Callithrix jacchus: one gene and its partners. The protein of the gene in region 3 purifies or fractionates together with the protein of the main gene of each other region. This does not show direct contact. Links are inferred from orthologs where the notes say so. Each region holds a gene or a part of one and is shown on either strand. Other genes may lie near its edges. The genes, in order: PDIK1L, STK35, CTDSPL2 and KPNA1.

Region 1 (5,919 bases), on a different chromosome or scaffold from region 3:
CAGTATATTACCAGGATAGATTCCTCGAAATCTAGTATTTGATCTAGGGTTACTGGATCAAATAATATGGCTATATATTGCCAAACTTCTTTGTTAACAGTTATATCACTTTGCCTTCCCACCAGCAATGTATGAGAATGCAGGTGTATTTTGATATCATATCAGATTGAGGAGGCTGCAGAGATGAATCACAAAGATTCCTATCCGCAGGAATTCTCAGTCTTTTAGGAGGCCTACGGGCAACAACAACAAAAAATGACATAACATACTAAGCAGGAGGCAGATTCACCCTGAAGCTAATTAATCTTTAGCTTTGGAGTCCTTTGCTTATAGGGACCCTTTCCAGTGTTCCAGGTATGTGTTCACAGGGCCATTGTATAACCTTTTCCCTAAGGACACCGCAAATTATTTAAGTTTCAGGCCCCACAAGACCTGAACCCACCTCACGGACTTTACAGCGAGCCTAAATTTGAGAATGAGGGTGGATTTCAAATCTCATCTGCAGCTAACTTGAGAGCAAGAGTTCCTATGATATTCAATGACACACAAAGAAAACACAAACGCTACTTTGAGAGAGGTCCCTCCCGATTTGGATCAATAACCCACACAGGTAGCTAGCTGTGTACACAAAGCCTTCTATATTTTCCCTTTATTTTTTTTTTTTTGAGATGGAGTTTCGCTGTTGTTACCCAGACTGGAGTGCAATGGCACGATCTCGGCTCACTGAAACCTCTGCCTCCTGGGTTCAAGCAATTCTCCTGCCTCAGCCTCCCGAGTAGCTGGCGCGCATCACCACGCCCAGCTGATTTTTGTATTTTTAGTGGAGACGGGGTTTCACCTTGTTGACCAGAATGGTCTCGATCTCTTGACCTTGTGATCCACCCGCCTTAGCCTCCCCAAGTGCTGTGATTATAGGTGTGAGCCACCGCGACCCGAAATTTTCCCTTTACTTTTGAGGGCGGGAAATAAGTCTTGGCCTGTCACCAGTGTTTCCAGCAAACAGCTGAAGACCTGACACTTGGATGGCACTCAGGACAAAAGTCTGAACAGATTACAGAACCAATGTGGGGTTTTTTAAGGGGACAGAGTATTACACCGGGGAGTGGGTATTCAAGGTAGACACACCCCAAAAAAGACACTTCAGTAAAAAGAGGCAGAGGTGTTTCCTCATCTGCAAAAATAGGATAATAAAACCTCCCCTTGTGGGGTTAGGTTAGGGTTAAACAAGATAATTTATATATGTAAAGATAATCTCAGACTCTCGGGAGAAATAGCATAAATGGAGAACAGAAAATAAAACGGGTTGATCTTTGAGCACAGCGACAGGGATTCTTTATACATCGTGCCTTATAGAGCGAGCGCTAGGAGGAGGAACCATCACCTTGCTGACAAGTAATCGGTGCAAAATAAATCGGGGAAGAAGGAATGGACGTTTCTGGCGGATGCTTACTGATCTAACAACTGGATGACTGAGAGGTCCGGGCCTGAGTGACCCCGCGCTGGCTGTGGGGCCGACAGCGTGCAGGATCTGACTGACAGCGTGTGGCACCCGGGCGACTGCAGCAGCGGCGGAACTCCCATTGACCGTCCTGTCTCGAAAGGGCCCGGAGCGCGGTGGATCTGGGCTCGGACCGAGGCCTCTTCCGCGCGCCGACTGCAGACCGACCCTCCACCAGGAACCTCGGGGGGACGCCGCGGTCACTGCAGCCAGGTGCGGGCGTCACCGTCCCCTCCCTCCCAGCGCCAGGCAGGGGGCCCTGGCTCCCTGCTGCCACCACCGGGAAACAATGAGGCGCCGGCTTCTTTAAGGGAGATACCACCGCGCCGGCGGGGCAGGGGACGACGTCTTCCCAGATGATCGCACTCAGCCCCGCGCCGCTGCCGCCTTCTCGGCAACTGCATCGTCCGCAAACATGGCTCAGTGACTCGGACAAAAGCTGCAGCCTCCCTCCCGGCGGGGCGGACGCCAGACCTTCTTGCTCGGGCCGCGCCTCCACGCGGGCCCGCCAAAGCAGCACCGCGCCCCGCAAGCACCCAAGGCCCGCGCAGAAGATGCAAGCGGCGTACCACCCCAGCGAGCCCCGCATCCCAGCCCGCAGCTCGGTAGGTTGGAAGGGGGGTGGCGAGGGGGAGGGGAGGCCACGGCGGGGCGCACGCAGCCCCAGGCCAGGGCCTGCTGCTGCAGACCGTCCCCGGGGCCGCGTGCCCTACGCGCCCGCTGCGGCTGGAGGGTGACCGAGACCCCGCGTGGCATGGCCTCGCGGTTCTCGGACCCGGCCACCCCTGCGGAGAGCAGCACCAGTGGTGCGCTCCGTAGCGCGTACACCTCCGACTCCAGGATCTGCAAATCCTCGGGAGAGGGAGGTGGCGAGCGGAGGGCCGGCCACGCGCCTGATCAGTGGCGCGGAACTTACCGGCTCGCACTACGGAAAGCCGGAGGGGGGCGGGGCCGCCAGCGTAAGGGGGTGTGTCCGCGCGCACCACGGGGGCGCGCGCCGGCCGCTGACTGGAGGCGGCGGCTGCAGCGGAGGCGCGAGCTGCCCGATAATGGCGGCCTGCAGAGCCCGTGAGAGGGAGAAGCGGCAGCGTCTACCCTGAGGTAAATCTGGCTCTTCGGCGTGGTGGAGAGGCCCTGCTGCAGTGCCGACGGCCCTGCATGTGCCTCCCTCCCCGGGAGGCCTGTCACAGACCTGTCAGTGGAGTCATCCTGGGGAAGGCCCCGCGCCCCTCAGGCCACCGGCCCTAGCCGCGGCCTCCTCTCACACCTGGGCCACCTCCCCAAGCCCCGGCCCTCAGCCCCCGGCCCCGAGGAGTTGAGGCAGCTGCAGGGCTGGCTCCTCTGGGCAAAGGGGCTCGGGAGCCTCCCCTCCGGGCTTCATCTGAGCGCGGCCGAGGAGGGGGAGGGCCTGACACTTGGCCAATGAGCGCGGCCTGAGCCGCCGCGTCGGACAACACCTCTGGCCCGGACTGGCCCTTCACGGGCGCCGGCAGGTGTCTGGCCTGGCCGGCCCGCGTCCCGGCGCCAGGTTAGAAAGGCGAGAGCGAGGTCCCGCCACTTGCCGTCGAAAGTCGCTTAGGTTCGCACCGGATGCATCATTCGATCCGGGATCCCACGGGTTTCATAAACACCCCTCCTCCCTATTCGGGAAGGTGCTCCTCCCTATGGGGACTGTACCTGGCTGGAGAGGACATGGGACTGCTTCAGAGACACGAACCACCTTGAGTGGATGTGACTGGCGATCGCCGAAGAGCAGGAAAACTCGTCTGCTGTACAGTCGGGGCAGAGGATTCTGTGGCAGGAAATCAGACACTAGGAAATTCGGTAGCGATTTGAAGGGTGGGTGTCCGGTTAGAGGAAGTGGGACTGAAAGCAATCTCAGAAGTCCTTTCTTGATTAAATCTATCCTATGGACTTAACGCAGCGGATCCCAACTTCTCAGGCTCTAGGGTCAGTAGCTTTTTGCATTTCCCAGCTGAACAGAATAAATATTGTACAATCTCAGGTTACTTTTCTTGCCCGTGGCAACAATCTACAAAAGCGAATTCGTTCGTGAAGTTCGTTAGAATCTAGAAATTCTTTGGGGAGTAAGGAAGCACACTTTAGACTGTCTTTATTCAACACATGAGTATTTCTGTATAGGGCCTTTGCTCTCGCCTTTAAACCATTCACTAAGTTGAATTCCCAAGAACTCTGTTAGAGAGCCCATTGATATGCAGGACTTTTTTTTTTTTTTTTTTTTTTTTTTTTTAAGAGACAGGATTTTACCATGTTGACCAGGATGGTCTCGATTTCTTGACCTAGTGATCCGCCCGCCTCGGCCTCCCAAAGTGCTGGGATTACAGGCGTGAGCCACCGCGCCCGGCCCACAGAATATTTTTTGTTGGCAAAAATGACCTAGAACTATTGTTTACTCCAGCTCTCTTCTGATTAGTAAAAAGGAAACATAAGTAAAAAATTTTAAATAGCTATTGTTAAATGACTACAAAAGGTAACTGTATTCTAAGTAGCTTGCTTTATTTTTAAAGAAAAGTTTCGGGCTGGGCGCGGTGGCTCACGCCTGTAATCCCAGCACTTTGGGAGGCCGAGGCGGGTGGATCACGAGGTCAAGAGATCAAGACCATCCTGGTCAACATGGTGAAACCCGTCTCTGCTAAAAATACAAAAAATTAGCTGGGCATGGTGGCTCGTCCTGTAATCCCAGCTACTCAGGAAGCTGAGGGAGGAGAATTGCCTGAACCCAGGAGGCGGAGGTTGCGGTGAGCCGAGATCGCACCATTGCACTCCAGCCTGGGTAACTGCGTCTCAAAAAAAAAGTTTCTTCTCCATAAAGTTTATTTTCATTTATTTTGTAAGAAATAAGGAGATGACATAAGAAACAAAATTAAAATATGAATAAAAGTTTGGCCACTTTTGCATAATGAAAACAAACATTTTCAGTTCTATAAATGTTCTGGTTCACTGTCAGGCCTTAAGCATAAGCCAGGTGTTTGTATTTCTAACTGTGAGGGGGTTTTGTTTTTGCTGTTTTATGACCATTATGTCTGTGTCAGCCTGAAGGAGAAGCTGGGATTTTGCTTGCTTGCTTGTTTTTTCCTGATCAGTGGATAAGAATGCTGAATTTTGGGAATGTATTTTTAACAGTGACATTTTTCAAGCAGTTCATACAAGAGACAGTATACTGTAGTGCTTAAAATTGTGGTTGTCTGAGGCAGATGGCCTGATTTAAAATCCCAGTTCCATGAGTTACTAGCTATTGACCTTAGGCATTTCCTTTAACCTCTCCATTACATAGTTTCATCTATAAAAAGACCATACTAGTATCTACCTCATAAGATTATTATGAGGATTAACCAAATTTAATATTCGAAAGAGTTTAAAACAGTTCCTGATACATAGTAAATACTACCTGTTAGCTTTATTGTTACTATTCTTAAAATTAGATTTTCCCTAGATATAGCAAATATCCCTCAAGCACTGCAGACAGTGAAACAGATGACAAGCAAATCATATATAAAAGGAAATACAAGCCAGTAGGTATACATAATTTCAACAGAGCACTTTGTTGATTTTTCCAGAAACCTCGACCTTGAAGATGGTGAGTAGCCAGCCAAAGTACGATCTAATACGGGAGGTAGGCCGAGGTAGTTACGGTGTTGTGTATGAAGCAGTCATCAGAAAGACTTCTGCACGGGTGGCAGTGAAGAAAATTCGATGTCACGCACCTGAAAATGTTGAACTAGCTCTTCGTGAGTTCTGGGCACTAAGCAGTATCAAGAGCCAACATCCAAATGTGATTCACTTGGAGGAATGCATCCTACAAAAGGATGGGATGGTGCAAAAGATGTCCCACGGCTCTAATTCTTCCCTTTATTTACAGGTATGTGTTGTTGATTGGGAAATAGAAATGATTCGAACATGGCATTGGTCAGCAAGAGGAATGACAGGGTCAAACATTTCCCTTTAAATGCAGGTGTTTTGTAGTTAGAAGTAGATAAGTGTCTGCCAAGAATTGAGTAGATGTTTGCTTTAAAACAAGGTTTTATTTAAACCTGTGATGCACATACCTAAAAATAACATAAGCCACCTGTTATGCAATGGTACTTGCCAGTCTGCATAGGAATGGGGCAAGATAGGAGCTAGAGAAGTGCTTGAGACTACAGTCTAATAACTTCATTTCTTTGAAATCAATAATTCTGGACTTGACAGAAGAAAAGGAAAAACTCCACAACCAATAGCAACACCCTTAGGTAATTGGGCATCTCTTTTATAAATCGCTGGTTTGAATGTCAGCCTTTGCTGTTTTAGAGGGATATTTGGTTTCTTCACCATGCAATTCCAGTTAATTTTCATGAAGTACGTGGTTTAACACCTGAATGTTATTAACAGTGCTAATAGCTAACATTTGAATTCCCACTCAG
Region 2 (5,820 bases), on a different chromosome or scaffold from region 3:
GGTGAGGAAAGTCTACATAGTATTTATATGTTGAGAGAGTAAGCAAGAGCTTCAAACTGAGGTTGAAGGTTCGAGACTGGCATCAATGAACTGCGGACACAAGGAGTAAACATTTGGCAAAGGAAATTCCCACATCAAGCAGTCTTCTAGTAGGAAGTCCAGACCGTCCAGACCGTCCATTGGCAGTAGAGAAGACAGTCTGAGAATGGAAGGATTTGGAAGTAAGTGATGCACTCCTAGAATATAAGTAAGACAAAAGAATCCCCTGAGAGCATTTTTTTTTTTTTTTTTTTTTTTTTTTTGAAACAGGGTCTTGCTCTGTAGCCCAAGTTGTAATGCCGCTGCAGGATCATGGCTCACTGTAGCCTCAACCTCCCAGATTCAAGCGATCCTCCTGCCTCTGACTCTCGAGTAGTTGGGACTATAAGCCTGTGCCATCATGTCTGGCTAGTTTTCTTCTATTTTTTGTGGAGACTGGGGTCTCACTTTGTTGCCCAGGCTGGTCTCAAACTCCTGGGCTCAAGCCATCCTCCTGCCTCCCAAAGTGCTGGGATTAGCTGTGAGTCACTGTGCTCTGCTGGACGTCTTTTCAAAACAAAACCACTCACGCTGGGGAGAGGGTGGGCTTCTCAGAGTGGATGGGGCAGGGATGGACATAAAGGTAGACATCTATTTAAAGGGATTTAGGTGATACTGATTCATGTTTCCAATTCCACCGTCAAACAACTGACTTGCAATGGAATAAAAAGTGTTCTCTTGGGAAAGGCTTGGGGAATCTTAAAGTTGGGCAAAAGCCCCAAAGAAGATTTTAGGAGACCACCCCCTCCAAACTCACCCCAAATCCTACCCATTCTTAAAAGTTCATCCTCAGGGTAGGGAGAACAGCATTACACCTTTGAAAGGACCCAGGCCTTGAATCAAGACAGATCTGGGTTCCCCATCACTTAAGCTCTGAGAAACTTAAGGAAACCAGGAGCATAGTCAAACTTCCCTTTCAAGCAGATTAACCCTGATCAAGTTATTTGTTCACTTCTAAGCCTAGTTTCTCTATTTATAGAAAGAGGACAGAATTTACTTTTGAAGTTATTACCTAAAAATTACTTCAGCGCTAAGACCACAGCTGGGCCTCGGATTAGTCAACTTTCTTCCCCTGGATCCTCCTGCCTCAGAAAGTCTCCTCAAACTTTCCAATGTCCCTCTCCTCCTCTCCGTGAAGACACCTAGCTAACAGCAGTAGTAGGAACAAGGCTTGTGGGTACCGAGTATTTAGGATGAACACGGTCCCTAACGGCAGTCAAAACCGGGAAATTAAGGTAATTAGTTCTTCCAGGACTTGAAGACCACTTGCCTCAATGAACCCCATTTTCCTTCTAAGTAAAACCACTTCCCAGCCAGCCTCTGAGGTTAAGAAAAAGATTAAGATTGTAAAACAAAGGGAAAAGATGTTGAATGCTTTGTTATGTGACAGCTCTCAGGCCACCTGTGAGGGCTGTCAGCCTGCATGCCTCGGAGGACCAAGCAAGAAAACCGCCAGTTTGCTTGGCTGCCTGGGATGAAGGACTGGGGGCCTCAGAGGAAAAGGCAGAGTAGGAGGCCACAAGAGTTTGGGTGTGGGAGCTGGAGGGTGTTAGGAAACTTGGAACCACACAGGGAGAGGGTGTGGATGGGTCCAGTGAAGTTTTTTCTTTTTGTTCGTTTTGGGAGGGAAAGAGAGAGGCCCTAGAGGGTGAGTGGGCTCCGCAGTTCTGCTACTAACTGAACCCAACACCTCCTCCACTCCCTGACCGATCTAAAAAGGTAGTAGGCATTTAATCACCATAGCTCACAATTACTGAGCACCTATTAAGTTAATGGTTTGCACTTAAGCTCTTGTTATTAAAATATCAGCCAACGTTAGGCCCAGAAACTGATCCTGGGACCTGAAAAGAGGGCCGAATTCCTGTGCCTAGAAAAGGAGGGTGTGTCCGGGCACAGGGTGACAGGAACCAGGTCTGAGGCCTAGGGGGGCCGGGAACAATGTGTGCCAAACCGTCCGGAGAGGCGCGGACCCAGGCCTTGCAAATGTGGAAAGGACGGCGGTGCTCCTACCTTTCAGTGAGGTCTCCACCAGGCGCAGGTAAAGCTGCGAGCTCTTATTGCCGTGACTCATGCGCTGCGCTAGCCCGTTGCGCTGCAGGACGCACTCCTCAAACTGCACGACGTTTTGGTGGCGCCGCTTGAGGCTGGTGAGGGCCCAGAATTCAGCCAGAGCTAGCTCCACGTTCTCGGGGGCGTCGCAGCGGATCTTCTTGACCGCCACTCGGGCCCCGCTGCGCCCGGCCACTGCCTCGTAAACCACGCCGTAGCTGCCGCGCCCGATCTCCGCCAACAGACTGTAGCGCGGCCGAGCGGACCCGCCACCGCCCTCTGGCCATCGCCGCGCCAGGTAGGCCTCGCCCGGGGCCTCGGTCGCCACCGGATCCATGGCCTGGGCCGCCGCCACTGGCCTCAGCTTCGTGCTGGGCGCCCGCGGCACTGGGCTTCGCCTTTTCCGCTCCGGGCTTTGTGTACCTCTGCGGGCGCCGTCCTTTCCCGTTTCCATGGCTGCGGGCGGCGGGGGGAGCAGCAACGGCGCTGCCCGGGCCCCCCCTGCCTCATCCCTTCGTCCGGCCCCGGGACGCGGAGGAGCGGGACCTTGGATTGTGACCTGCAGGCCAAAGAATCGGTTAAACGACCAGGCCGAGGCGGGGAGGCCAGGAGAGTAGGCCGCGGAGCGCCCCACCTCCTCCTCCCCCGGCCGCCGCGGCCCCTTTAAGACGGAAGCCACAGCCGCTGATTGAACGGGGGAGGGGAGGGGAAAGCGGGAAAGACGGAACCACTGGGCAGCGGCTCAGAGGGAGAACCGGAAAGAAAAGCACAAACTCTCCCCTTTCTCTGTTAGTTTGTCGTGTAGCGATAAGAAAAAGAACACACAGAAAGCTTAACGCCTTCTGAAAACCGCCTTAAGATGCGATTCGGCCGGCGGAAAACTTTTTCTTTGCCCGTACCCCTCCGTGACGCCCCTCCCCGCGCCCCACCTTGTGTTCGCCCGGGTGTAAACAGTCCATTGAATTAAGCCCTAGCGGAGCCCGGCGGACCGACCCAAGTCCCCTAGGGCGGCGGGTAGAAGAGATTGGCTAAAAAGTTCCGTGTCTCGGAGCGCGACCGGCCGAGGAATCCGATTGCCCTCCCCGAGCGCGGAGGCAGTGGCAGTAACTCCATCCTCGGTGCTGGCTCTTCAGTCCTCGAACAGTACCCTTACCTGGCCCGCGCACCTCCGCTTCCGGGCTGTCCGTTTCACTCCTGGAGCCCCTGTCTGGGGATGGTCCGCTCCGCGATGAGGCTGCCTCCGTGACCGAGCTGCGCGGGAGGTGGTGGCCCGAGCCCGGCGTGTGGCGGGTGCTTCTGCTGCCGCGGCGCTCGCTGGGGAGGCCTGGGCTCCCAGGCTCCCGTGGCTTTCCACGTGTTCCCGCCAGCTGAGCCCTTTACATAACCTCTTTACATAAGCTGCACCTCCCGCCGACGCCCGGGCCAGCGGAGACTCCTGGTGGCCCATCCCCTGGGAGGCCAGCCGAGTGAGTCCTGCGCCGCCTGGTCCTGCCAAGGTCGACGGAGCAGCCGCAGCAGAGCGCACCAGCACGCCTCGCCGGGGCCCAATCACCGGCGAGAACACCCAGCCAACAAAAAATAGGCGCCAAATTCCCGTGATCCGCGGCGGCCCGCGCACCGCGACCCCTTCTCCTCGCCTGACCTGCGTGAAGACCAACCGTACGCAGTAGGCGCTTAATAAATACTGATAGGGTGATTGTCTTGGTTTTTTGATTCATAACTCGGTCTGGGAACGTTAGGGAGTGGGTTGGAATCCTGACCTTCCCTTCTACCAGCCCAGTAATCTTGTGCAAATCATTGCCACAACCTGAGCATCGTTTATCTGATGATCCTCTGCTAAATGGATTAAATGGGCCTTAATTCTCAGGAACAATAGAACCAAATGAAATACATAGATAGAGGCTAATTGGGTGTGGGGCTGAGTTAATACTCAAAGCTCCATTTAAGCACAGATTTTTGAGTATTTTGTTCTGTACTTTGTATTACAGTGTAGGCCTAGTGGGTGCCCAGTGTTAACTGAATCTACCGTTATCTATTGAACACCTGTAATGTGCTAGGCACCGTTTTAAGTCTCTGGGGAAAGAGAAGTAGACAAGGCAGTTTCTGCCTTGGTTGAGGTTCTGTGTCACTGCAGGAGACAAACCACATGGGTGGCCTTGGGCAAGTTAATCAACTTTCTTGTGGGTTTTTACCTCACCTGTAAGAAGATTCACAGAGGTTATCCAGATAAAGCACTTAGGACAGCCTTACACACAGTCAATGTTAAGTATTAAAGGATAATTTTTGCCATTGATAAGTGTGATGGAGAAGAAGAATGAGCTAAAGAGTGCTCGTTGGGGACAGGCTATATCTGATAGTGTATTTAGTCGCTGAAAGCCTCTAATGTTTTTGTGATTAAATTTCAAATTTACACATAAATTTCAAGAATCATAAAGATCATATACTTTTTTACCAGAATAACAAATTGTTATATTTTGCTGCATTTCCGTATCTTACACACACACACACATATATTGTGTGTAGATATCCATATGGTTTATACCTGAAAAGAAAGGGAATCAGTATATGGTATATAGATATTCACACACACACACACACTCACACTTATATAATGTATATATATATATTTTAGGACATCATTTTAGAGTTTCCAACAAGCTTCTTTATTCCAAATATTTATATGTCTTTCCTTTAAAAAAGGCATTATCTTGCATAATCTCAGTACAGTGATCAAAAGTCAGGAATTTTAACAATGATACAATTGTGTTATTTAATACACTCCATCCATATTTAAATTTTGCTAATTGTCTCAATCATGTTCTTTATAGCTATTCCCCAGGATGCAATTCAGGATCACACGTTTCATTGACTTGTCATACCTCTTTAGTTTCCTTTAACCTGGAAGGGCAGTTATCCAGCCTTCGTCTTTCATGACCTTGACATTTTGGAAGAGTACTGGTGAGTTATATTATAGAATGTCCCTAAATTTTGATTTTAATGTTTTCTTATGATTACATGCAGAGTATGCACTTCCCCCCCCCCCCCCCCCCGCCCCACATTACCTACCCATCCCTTGCTATTCTGAGAGGGTGAGGGTTTGCATTTTCTGGCAGGAATGTTACTGAAAAGAGTTGCCTCCTCAGGGCCTTTCATCAGGAGGCACATGACATTGTATTTGTCCCGGTATTCGTGGTATTAACTTCCATCATTTGGTTGAGGTTGTGTAGGGGGAGGTACACGCCACCATAAAGTTACAATTTTTCCTTTTGTAACTATTAAGTATCCTGTGGGAAGATATTTTGAGACTGTTTAAATATCCTGTTCTTCACCAGACTCTTACCCACTGGTTTTAGAATTCATGCGGATTCTTGCTTGAAACAATTATTACGGTTGCAAAATGGTGATCAGAAAGTCTTTTTAAACATGACCATTAACAATCTTCGTTACTTACCCTCTCACATCCTCTGATTCCCCCGCCACCCTTCCCAGCCTCCAGTAACTATCATTCTACTTTCTCTGTCTCCATGGGTTCAGTTGTTCTGATTTTTAGATCCCACAAATAGAACATGCAATGTTTTCTTTCTGTGCTTGGCTTATTTCACTTAACATAATGATCTCTGGTTCCGTCCATGTTATTGCAAATGACTGAATCTCATTCTCTTTAATGGCAGAGTAATACTCCATTGTGTATAA
Region 3 (5,246 bases):
CACTTTGGGAGGCCAAGGTGGGCAGATCACTTGAGCTCAGGAGTTTGAGACTAGCCTGGGCAATATGGTGAAATTCTGTCTCTACAAAAAAAAAATATATATAAAAAATTAGCTGGCCATCGTGGCTCATACACCTATAGTCCCAGCTACCTGAAGGACTGAGGTAGGAGGATTGCTTGACTTGGGAGGTCAAGGCTGCAGTGAGCTGTGTTCATGCCACTGCACTCCAGCCTGGACGACAAAGTGAGACTTGTCTTGAAAAATAATAATAAAGTAAATAAATAAAAATAAATTTTGTTTCTTTCATCAATAGGAACTTGAAACAGTAAGTAGTTGAAGATACATTTTCTTGTGCTAATTATTAGAAGCATAATATTGCCAGAGACGCACAAAAATTCTGTTTTACATCTGATGTCATCCACTGAACATACACACCAGGTTGACTCTGTCTCAAAAGGTGTTAATACGTTACAATTGGACAAAAGACTATTTTGTCTTGAAAGACTATTCTCTACTATTTCATTTCTATAGAAACATCACAGAAAGTTTTATTGGGTTCCACTTTAAATTTTTATGTCTGAGACATTACCTGTTTGGCTTATAAGTTACCTTTGTCTTCTCCTTACATTTAAGTTGTAATTATTGTCTTGGAAAATTTCCAGTATAATTTCTAAAGCTCTATCAAATGTTATGATCTTAGCTCAAACTGGGAATGAACTATGGCATGCAATATAGAATTACTTCTGGACCATTTTTAAGTTGTTTATAAATTAGAAGTAAAATAATATGTCTTATAAAGCAGTGATTTTGATCAGGCACGATGGCTCAACAGCACTTAAGGAGGCTGAGAAGGGAGGATCTCTTGAGCTCAGGAGTTTGAGACCAGCCTGGGCAGCATAATGAGACACTTTTTTGTCTCTATAAAAAAAATATTTTTAGTTATCCAGATGTGGTGGTACACCTGTAGTCCCACCTACTTGGGAAGCTGAGGCAGGAGGATTGCCTGAGCCTAGATCAAGACCACAGTGTTTGCTCCATGGCACTCCAACCTGGGTAACAGAACAGGACCCTGTCTCAAAAAAAAAAAAAAAAGACTGACTAAAAGAACAATTTCTGGCTGGGCGAGGTAGCTCACACCTGTTATCCCTGCGCTTTGGGAGGCCAAGGTGAGTGGATCACCTGAGGTAAGGCGTTCAAGACCAGCCTGGACAACATGCTGAAACCCCTTCTCTACTAAAAATACAAAAAAAATTAGCCAGGCATGGTGGCAGGCACCTGTAAGCCCAGCTACTCAGGAGGCTGAGTCAGGAGAATCACTTGAACCCCAGAGGTGGAGGTTGCAGTGAGCTGAGATTGTGCCGCTGCACTCCAGCCTACGTGACAGAGGAAGACTCCATCTCAAAAAAAACTAAAATAAAGAACAGTTTCTGCAGAGAGTAGCATTTCTTAATTTATTTTATTTTTATATACATTTTTTGAGCTGGAATTATACTCTTGTTGCCCAGGCTGGAGTGCAGTGGTGCGATCTTGGTTCATTGCAACCTCTTTCTAGGTTCAAGCAATTCTTCTGCCTGAACGTCCTGAGTAGCTGGGATTACAGGCATGCGCCACCACGCCCGGCAAATTTTGTATTTTTAGTAGAGACGGGGTTTCTCCATGTTGGTCAGACTGCTCTCGAACCCCTGACCTCAGGTTATCCGCCCACTTTGGTCCTCAAAAGTGCTGGGACTGCAGGCAAAGCCATTGTGCCTGGCCACATGTCTTAAGTTTTCAAGATTGTAGTCTTGAGATTCCTGGAAACATGTACATACAATTTTTTAAAAATAAGTCTGAAAAGGGTTCATGAACCTTTTAAAGACTGGATCTCAGGTTTAAAAACTACATTTGGGCCAGGCACGGTGGCTCACACCTTTAATCCCAGCGCTTTGAGAGGCCGAGGCAGGCAGATCACGAGGTCAGGAGTTCGAGACCAGCCTGACCAACATGGTGAAACCTCATCTCTACTAAAAATACAAAACTTAGCCAGGCATGATGGTGCATACCTGAATCCCAGCTACTCAGAAGGCTGAGGCAGGAGAATTATTTGAACCTGGGAAGCAGAGGTTGCACTGAGTTGAGTTGTGCCCATTGCACTCCAGCCTGGGCAACAGAATGAGACTCCGTCTCAAAAAAACAAAATAAAACAAGAACATTTGGGTCTAATGTCAGGATACATTTACTGACTGCCTGTGTACACAAGGTGCTTTTTGAACTATTGCCCCTATAAGAGCACCATGAAATTTTTTTTGGTTATTACATGTAAACATCATACAAAAAAAGAGATTCCTTTTTTTAGAGTATGTTTTTCTATTAATAAGTAGTACATTTTCTCTTAGCTGATAAACATCTTAATTCTAGCTATGATCTGATTTGCCATTTTGTCTGTAGTGGTCATTTTTCCCTTTAGATCTAAAGTTAGATCTATATATTAATAAATTTGCTTTTATGTGTTGTTTACAAATTATTTGTCTTTAATCTAAAATACACAGTGTTTCAGGAAGATCTTATATAGAAGCAGTAAAAATGTGTATTATAGGGCTTCAGGAAGATCTTACATAGGAGCAATAAAAAAGTGTATTTCTTGAAGCATTAAGTAAAAACAACGTTTTGTCTTTCACTGTGTTAAACAGCGCCAGTAACTCCAGATAGTGGTTATTCATCAGCCCATGCAGAGGCCACCTATGAAGAAGACTGGGAAGTATTTGACCCGTGAGTTAGTTAGTTGTTTCCTTCCTTCCTTCCTTCCTTCCTTCCTTCCTTCCTTCCTTCCTTCCTTCCTTCCTTCCTTCCCTCCCTCCCTCCCACCCTCTCCGCCTTCCTCCCTACCCCCCCTTTCTTTTGGAGCATGATGAAAGTTCATTATATATGTGGATTGGTGGCTAAGTAGTATATTGCCAAGATATGTAATCTGTAGGTATTAGAACTTTTACTGTGTATATAATCTATAGGTATTACATATATATACTGGGTATATAACCTGTAGGTATTACAACTTTTACTGCTGGGTGCAGTGGCTCATCCCAGCACTTTGAGAGACCCAGGCAGGCAGATTGTTTGAGCCCTGGAGTTCAAGACCAGCCTGGGCAACATGGTAAAACCTGTCTCTATAAAAAATACAAAAATTGGCTGGGTGCGGTGACACATGCCTGTAGTCCCAGCTATTGGGGAGGATCACTTGAGCCCAAGAGGCAGAGGTTACAGTAAGCTGTGATAGAGTGAGTTTGATTTATAGAGATACTAATTTCTATATTTTTACTTTTATTAACATATTTGATAAGTTTTATTTTCTGGGTCAACTGCTTTGTAGACTTTTAAATGGACTGAGCTTAGTAATATTTTATATTTATAAAAAGTAAAATGTTGAAATTTTTTAAAAATCTGATTTATAGCTATTATTTCATCAAACATGTCCCACCACTGACAGAAGAACAACTAAATAGGAAACCTGCTCTTCCGTTGAAAACAAGAAGCACACCGGAATTCTCCCTAGTTTTAGACTTGGTAAGTCTCTAAAGGTAGAGAATAAATGGGTGAAATTTTTTTTTTTAATCATGTCTATATTAGCTTTCTCCTTTTTTGTTGGGATCATGTTTTCCTGAAGGACCAAATATAGTTTGGGTCAACTGAATTAACCATATGCAAGACTATAACCCTTATTTATATATATATATATTATACCAATAAACTTTTGATTAATAGTCTTAAAAGCACAGTTTCTTAATACTAACAAAGTTTTTAATCTGATCTCCGATATGATTTAAAAATTTGTATTTTAGGGGCTCAGGGCGGTAGCTCATGCCTGTAATCCAAGAATTTTGGGAGATCAAGGTGGGTGAGTTGAGACTAGCCTTACCAACATGGTGAAACCCATTTTCTACTAAAAATTCAAAAACTAGCTGGGCATGGTAATACGCACTGGTCATCGCAGCTACTTGGGAAGCTGAGGCACGAGAATCCTAAAACCCAGGAGACAGATGTTGCAGTAAGCTGAGATCATGCCACTGCACTCTAGCCATGGTGACAGAGCAAGAGTCTTTCTTGAAAAACAATGATATTTTAGGGTATTTATCTCCTATTTGCTAACCAAATTTAATATATAGTCACATTTCCCATCTGCCTCTAATTTCTTACTGATTTTGCATTTTTTAAATTTGTTTACTTTTTTTAAGGCTAGTAAAGTAAAGCAGTGGGATTGGGGGAGGAACTAATTTTTGATATTGGTAACAAATGAATCTCATGTCATATTGGAAAATATTATTAAGTATTTGTTTCTGGTACCCTATAATTGGAGATGTGATTTAGTTCTCATAGAAAATTTATCTTAGCCAGGCACGGTGTTTCATGCCTGTAATTTCAGAACTTTGAGCCTACATTTGGCCTAGGAATTCAAGACCTGCCTAGACAACATAGTAAGACCCACGGTGCTACAAAAAATGAATGGGCCTGGTGGTGCAACCCTGTGGTCCCAGCTACTTGGGAGGCTGAGACAGGAGGATCCCTTGAGGCCAGGAATTTGAGGTGGCAGTGAGCTACGATTTTATCACTGTACTGCAGGCTGAGCAGCAAAGCCAGATATCATTTCAGTTTTAAAAGAAGGAAAAAGCCAGGCACATGGCTCACATCTATAATCCCAGCACCTTGGGAGGCCGAGGCAGATGGATCACAAGGTCAGGAGTTTGAGACCAGCCTGGCCAAGATGGTGAAATCTCGACTCTACTAAAAATTCAAAAATTAGCCGGGTATGGTGGCACACACCTGTAATCCCAGCCACTCAGGAGGCTGAGGCAGGAGAATCACTTGAACCCAGGAGACGGAGGTTACAGTGAGCCGAGATGACGCCATTGCACTCCTGCCTGGGTGAAAGAGTGAGACTCTGTCTCAAAAAAAAAAAAAAGAAGGAAAGAAAATTTATCTAGGTTAGGCATAGTGGCTCACACCTGTAATCCCAGCACTTTGGGAGGCCAAGGCGGGCAAATACATGAGTACAGGAATTGGAGACTAGCCTGACCAGTAGAGTGAAACCCTATCTTTACTAAAAATATAAAAATTAGCCGGGCGTGGTGGTGCACGCCTGTAATCTCAGCTACTTGGGAAGCTGAAGCAGGAGAATCGCTTGAACCCAGGAGATGCAAATTGCAGTAAACCTAGATTGTGCCACAGCGCTTCACCCTTGTTCAGGTTGTTCACAGAGTGAGACTCTGCCTCAA
Region 4 (5,246 bases), on a different chromosome or scaffold from region 3:
CATGCACACAAGGGTGATCACCAACATTATAAATAAGATCTACGAATGAGGCTGAAGCATTGCCCTATGGAGGATGCCCACTAAAGGAGACAAGAGGAAAATGAGCTCCCGAGGGAGAAATAAATGGTCAATGAGGAAGAAGAACTAAAAGACTTCAACATCACAATGCAGCTAAGATTTCAAGAAGAAATATGGCTATAACAATGCACTGTAAATGGTGTCTCTTGATACAGAAGTTGAATGGAATAGACAATGACATTAGAAAGAGAAGAATCTTCCTTACACAGGAGACTTACCATGTACAGAAGGAGAAAGCTATCAGAAGGTGATATTGAGATGACGCAGGCAGAGAAAAGATGCTACTAGAGGCTTCGAATGCTCGTGAGAACCATTTCAAATAGTGAAGACAAACAAATCTTTCTCACCAAAAGAAAAGTCATTATCATAGGGGAACCCCAAATTACTACAATCAACAGGTCAAGTCAGAGATGCTGAAGGTACTGAGAGTAGATGCCTAAACCAACGTTTTTGTGTTTTTATTTTTTTTAAGCCAGAGTCTTGCTCTGTCACCCAGGCTGGAGTGCAGTGGTGCGATCTCAGCTCACTGCAACCTCTGCCTCCTGGGTTCAAGAGACTCTCCGGCCTCCCAGTAGCTTGCAGTGAGCCTAGATTGTGCCATTGCACTCCAGCCTGGTGACAGAGCGAGACTCCATCTCAAAAAAACAAAACAAAAAAACAGTACATTGAACTTGGCTATTTCTTTTATTTTTAGTAGAGTCAGGGTTTCGCCATGTTGCCCAGGTTGGTGCCAAACTCCTGGGCTCAGGCGATCTACCCACCTCTGTCTCCCAAAGTGCTGGGATTACAGGCATGAGCCACTGCACTGGCTCAATATTTTTAAACATTAGTGAAACACAGTATCAAATTTCCCTAATAATATGAAGTTAAATACTATAATAGAAATATGATCATGAAGTTCAATGTACTGTTTTTTTGTTTTGTTTTTTTGAGATGGAGTCTCGCTCTGTCACCAGGCTGGAGTGCAATGGCACAATCTAGGCTCACTGCAATCTCCACTTCCCATGTTCAAGCAGTTCCCCTGCCTCAGCCTCCCAAGTAGCTGGAACTACAGGCGTGCACCACCACACCCAGCTAATTTTTTGTATTTCAGTAAAGACAGGGTTTTACCATGTTGGCCAGGATGATCATAATCTCCTGACCTCAAGATCCACTTGCCTCGGCCTCCCAGAGTGTTGAGATGACAGGTGTGAGCCACCATGCCCAGCCAATGTAGTACTCTTTTTAAAGGAACAAAGAAACAATTATCACTTCTTCATACCTGTGTCTGAATATCATCCCCTGTGACAATGTTTCCCACAGCTCGCAAAGCAGGAGAAACCACTTTATAATCATTATGCCTGAAAAAATAAAAAGTAATGTTATAGCCAACAGTTCTATCCTTAGTCTCATTTCCTTAGAACCAAAATTAAAAAAAATTATGATAGAATTTTAGAGCAGAAAGGTACCTATGGGGGTAATTAAGGGAACTCTTATCATGTCCCCTACTGTCTTTCCCTTTATTTTAGTACATTTGGAAAAAACTACCAATCTTTCCTAGGAATCTTTCCCAGGTATTCCATCACCTGGATTCCAAGTTTTCCCTCTCATTCTTTAATTTAGGTTTCATTTCCTCTTTACTTGGTCTTGTATGGTTGCTGAGATAACGGAGAACAATAGTTAATATTTATGCAACATGTTTTAAGTTTTATAAATTGTCTTAATTTTCACAGAGGTTAAAAACAACACATCAACAGCCGAACTAACTTGAAAATGCAAGTCAGGAGTCACACTCCAAATATAAAGGTCTTTCAACTAAACCTACTAAGCTGCCTTACTGGTTGAAAACCCCTCCCTTACTGGTTGAAAATCCCTCCACAAAGCTATACATACACACACACACACAAACTTTTGATTTTCTTTAAGGGTCCTACTTTTCCCGCCCCTTTAATAAGGCTGATCACTCATCTAAAAACTGCCAGTTCCTTCACATTTTAGATGTGATTATTAAAAAGAAATGGCTAAAATATATAGTAGTCTAATGGATAAAGAATGCAAAGGTTTACTTCCCAGATTTTGAATGATGTACTGACTCCTGCAGCATCATACTGCCTGCCATTCATTCACATTAGCACTACAATACTGCTCTGCATTCAGTCTGCAGCCAGCTATAATGTTGTATTTTGTATTAACATATTATAACTATCTAATCTATTCCAAATGTCATGTTTGAGACAATGTCTCCTCGCATCTATTTTGTACTTTAATTAAATTTCCAGTTGCTTGTAGTTGTACCATTTCTCCATTATGTTATCACTTTTTTCTTCTGTCGTATCTAAAAATTTGATTAAGACAGTCTCAAATTATTTATTTAACGAGTAAATCTTCTACTGCATTATCAAAAGCAGCACAAAGGTGATAAACCAAAGTAAGATTCAGTTTCTGATACTTGTCTTAAATAAGCTCTAAATGAGACAGAAAGATAAGGAATGACTATTTTATTGGCAGTGTATCTTCTGATGTCCAGTGGTTGATCTCGGGTCATCCAGTATGAGACTGTAACTACACAGATCAGAGTTTTCCAAATATTTCTGCTAAAGGCCTGCTAACAGCAGAGGAGTAAGAGGTTCTCTATAAGCCTCAATAAAACAAGACAAACAGATCTGCCATCAACATAAACAAGTAACAAAAAATAGTAGCCCAAAGCACAATAAACCAATATAATATACAATCAATTAATATTTAAGTATTAGTAGCTAGAAAACTAGTACCAAGGGAAAAAAAGTGAACACACTTTCTAAAACATATCTTACATCAGCAGCTCCACAAGTCTCCTACATACTCCCGCATCAATGACTGCTTGAATTTTATCATTGGGTCCATCTGATAGATATGAGAGGGCCCAGCAGGCATCAGCCAGTACATCAGTGTCACTGACAAACAGCAACCAGGAAAGCACATTCAGACATGGGGAAACCTATAAAAGGAAAATGATGATTATGAAATCCAACAGACTAGAAGCCAGAAGTGAGGTGAGATACTCAAGAAGGCAGCCAGGCATAAATTTGGTGACTTCTTGAGTGATTTACACTTCTCAAGAAACAACAAGTACCTAAGTGGCAGTTCCATCTTTAACAATGCTGTCAGTGGTCTTGCACTAATTTGTAGTCAGAGCCCAAGGAAATTAATTTCAGATCATAAAGTTTTATATACATCAATTCTTGGAGTGAGATTCCTTGTCAAAACACATTCTTTGTGGACTAAAGAGGTAAAGAAACTTTCAAAAATGTGAAAGCTAAGAAATTCTGTATTTTAGATACTTTAGACCAAAAATGCTAGGGTTTTAAGATGAATTCAGTGAAAAATGATTCCAAATTAAAAACAACTACCAAAAAAAAATCCTGTTTCTTCTAATATGCAAAATATACAAGAAACTCAAATCAGCAAGAAAAAAACAATCCCATCAAAAAGTGGGCTAAGGACACAGACGATTCTCTAAAGAAGATATACAAATAGCCAAAAACCATTTAAAAATGCTCATCGCTCATCACTAATTATCAGGGAAATGCAAATTGAAACCACAATGTTATACCATCTTACTCCTGCAAGAATTGCTATAATCAAAAAATCAAAACAGGCGGGATGTGGTGGCTCATGCCTGTAATCCCAGCACTTTGGGAGGCTGAGGTGGGTGGATCACCTGAGGTCAGGAGTTCAAGACCAGCCTGGCCAGCATGGTGAAACCCCATCTCTACTAAAAATACAAAAATCAGCCGGGCATGGTGGTGTGTGCCCATCATCCCAGCTACTCAGGAGGCTGAGGCAGGAGAATCGCCTGATCCTGGGAGGTGGAGGTTGCAGTGTGCTGCACAACTGCACTCCAGCCTGGGCAACAAGAGCGAAACCCTGTCTCAAAAAAACAAAAACACGATAAATGTTGGCATGGATGTGGTGAAAAGGGGAATGTAAATTAGTATAACCACTATGGAAAATAGTACAGAGATTCCTTAAAGAACTGAAAGTAGATCTGCCATTTGATCCAGCAATTCCACTGCTACAAACGTGCACAGATACTTGCACACGCATATTTACAGCAGCACAATTCACAATTGCAAAATTATGGAAACAGCCCAAATGCCCATCAATCAACAAGTAGATAAAGAAACTGTGATATATATACCATAGAATACTGCTCAGCCATAAACAGAAACAAAACAACGGCATTTGCAGCAACCTGGATGGAACTGGAGACCATTATTCTAAGTAAAGTAACTCAGGAATGGAAAACCAAACATCAGATGTTCTCATTCATAAGTGGGATGTAAGCTATGAGGGCACAAAAGCATGAGATTGATACAATAAACTTTGGGGATTCTGGGGTAAAGGATGAGAGGTAGGTGAGAAATACAAGACTAGACAGTGGGTACTCTGTACACTGCTTGGGTGATGGGTGCACCAAAATCTCAAAAATCACCACTAAACAACTTACTCATGTACCCAAACACCTGATCTGTTCCCCTAAAACCTACTGCAAAAAAAAAAAAAAAAAAAAAATCTCATGGACTCCCAGACTATACTTTGAGAACCACTGTTTTAGGAGAACTGAAGAGTCTCTTAATACAGTATACTAATTGTATGAAGTCTCATTTCAATGAGCTTTACAAATTCTCCCTTTATGCTATGCTTTTATTTATTTGCAGCCCCTACATAAATGTGCATCTTCAAGCTATGCTTTAAATTTGCTTTTCAAATAATAAAGGGAACCAAAAAAAAAAACAAAAACCCTGTTTCTCCAAAAACAGATAAAATTCTAACATTTTAAGTTTTAACAAAAATTATCTTTCTGTTCACCTTACTATTGGTTGCTATACTCTTATAATTGCATTTTTTCTGCCAATGTCCCAAAAGCACAGTCCTTACCTTTGCAAATTCTGGAGGTGGACTTTTCCCTCTACAGAGGTTAGACAAAGCCCATACTGCATTCCGGGTCATGGTCAGGCGGTTTTGCTTTGAAAATAACCTATAAGCATGATGGTACAATGGTAAACTATATAATAGACATTGATTCTCTGAAAACATAATATAAATACTAAGTAATAGTACTTTTGATAAAGAGATGTCTTCAGATAGCTTTTCCCCAGAACATTAAAACTTCATTAATTCTGATACAAGTAATTCAGAATTTTGAC

The links.
Region 1: the proteins of CTDSPL2 (region 3) and PDIK1L purify together in Homo sapiens (affinity purification with mass spectrometry; 4 studies listed by BioGRID and IntAct, counting the BioPlex papers as one, with this or other methods). This does not show direct contact. The link is inferred for Callithrix jacchus from reciprocal best matches to the Homo sapiens genes CTDSPL2 and PDIK1L.
Region 2: the proteins of CTDSPL2 (region 3) and STK35 purify together in Homo sapiens (affinity purification with mass spectrometry; 3 studies listed by BioGRID and IntAct, counting the BioPlex papers as one, with this or other methods). This does not show direct contact. The link is inferred for Callithrix jacchus from reciprocal best matches to the Homo sapiens genes CTDSPL2 and STK35.
Region 4: the proteins of CTDSPL2 (region 3) and KPNA1 purify together in Homo sapiens (affinity purification with mass spectrometry; 3 studies listed by BioGRID and IntAct, with this or other methods). This does not show direct contact. The link is inferred for Callithrix jacchus from reciprocal best matches to the Homo sapiens genes CTDSPL2 and KPNA1.

What each region holds. Positions count from the first base shown.
Region 1 is NC_133508.1:62,762,162-62,768,080, forward strand, and holds the start of PDIK1L (serine/threonine-protein kinase PDIK1L), read left to right. Parts: upstream 1-2,570; 5' UTR 2,571-3,162; coding exon 3,163-3,337; intron 3,338-5,076; coding exon 5,077-5,378; intron 5,379-5,919.
Region 2 is NC_133506.1:9,682,679-9,688,498, reverse strand, and holds the start of STK35 (serine/threonine-protein kinase 35), read right to left. Parts: upstream 3,630-5,820; 5' UTR 3,575-3,629; coding exon 3,281-3,574; intron 2,687-3,280; coding exon 2,089-2,686; intron 1-2,088.
Region 3 is NC_133509.1:32,213,085-32,218,330, forward strand, and holds part of CTDSPL2 (CTD small phosphatase-like protein 2), read left to right. Parts: intron 1-2,669; coding exon 2,670-2,748; intron 2,749-3,428; coding exon 3,429-3,540; intron 3,541-5,246. UniProt on the Homo sapiens protein: Probable phosphatase.
Region 4 is NC_133516.1:80,578,297-80,583,542, reverse strand, and holds part of KPNA1 (importin subunit alpha-5), read right to left. Parts: intron 5,078-5,246; coding exon 4,978-5,077; intron 3,035-4,977; coding exon 2,871-3,034; intron 1,419-2,870; coding exon 1,340-1,418; intron 1-1,339. UniProt on the Homo sapiens protein: Functions in nuclear protein import as an adapter protein for nuclear receptor KPNB1. Binds specifically and directly to substrates containing either a simple or bipartite NLS motif.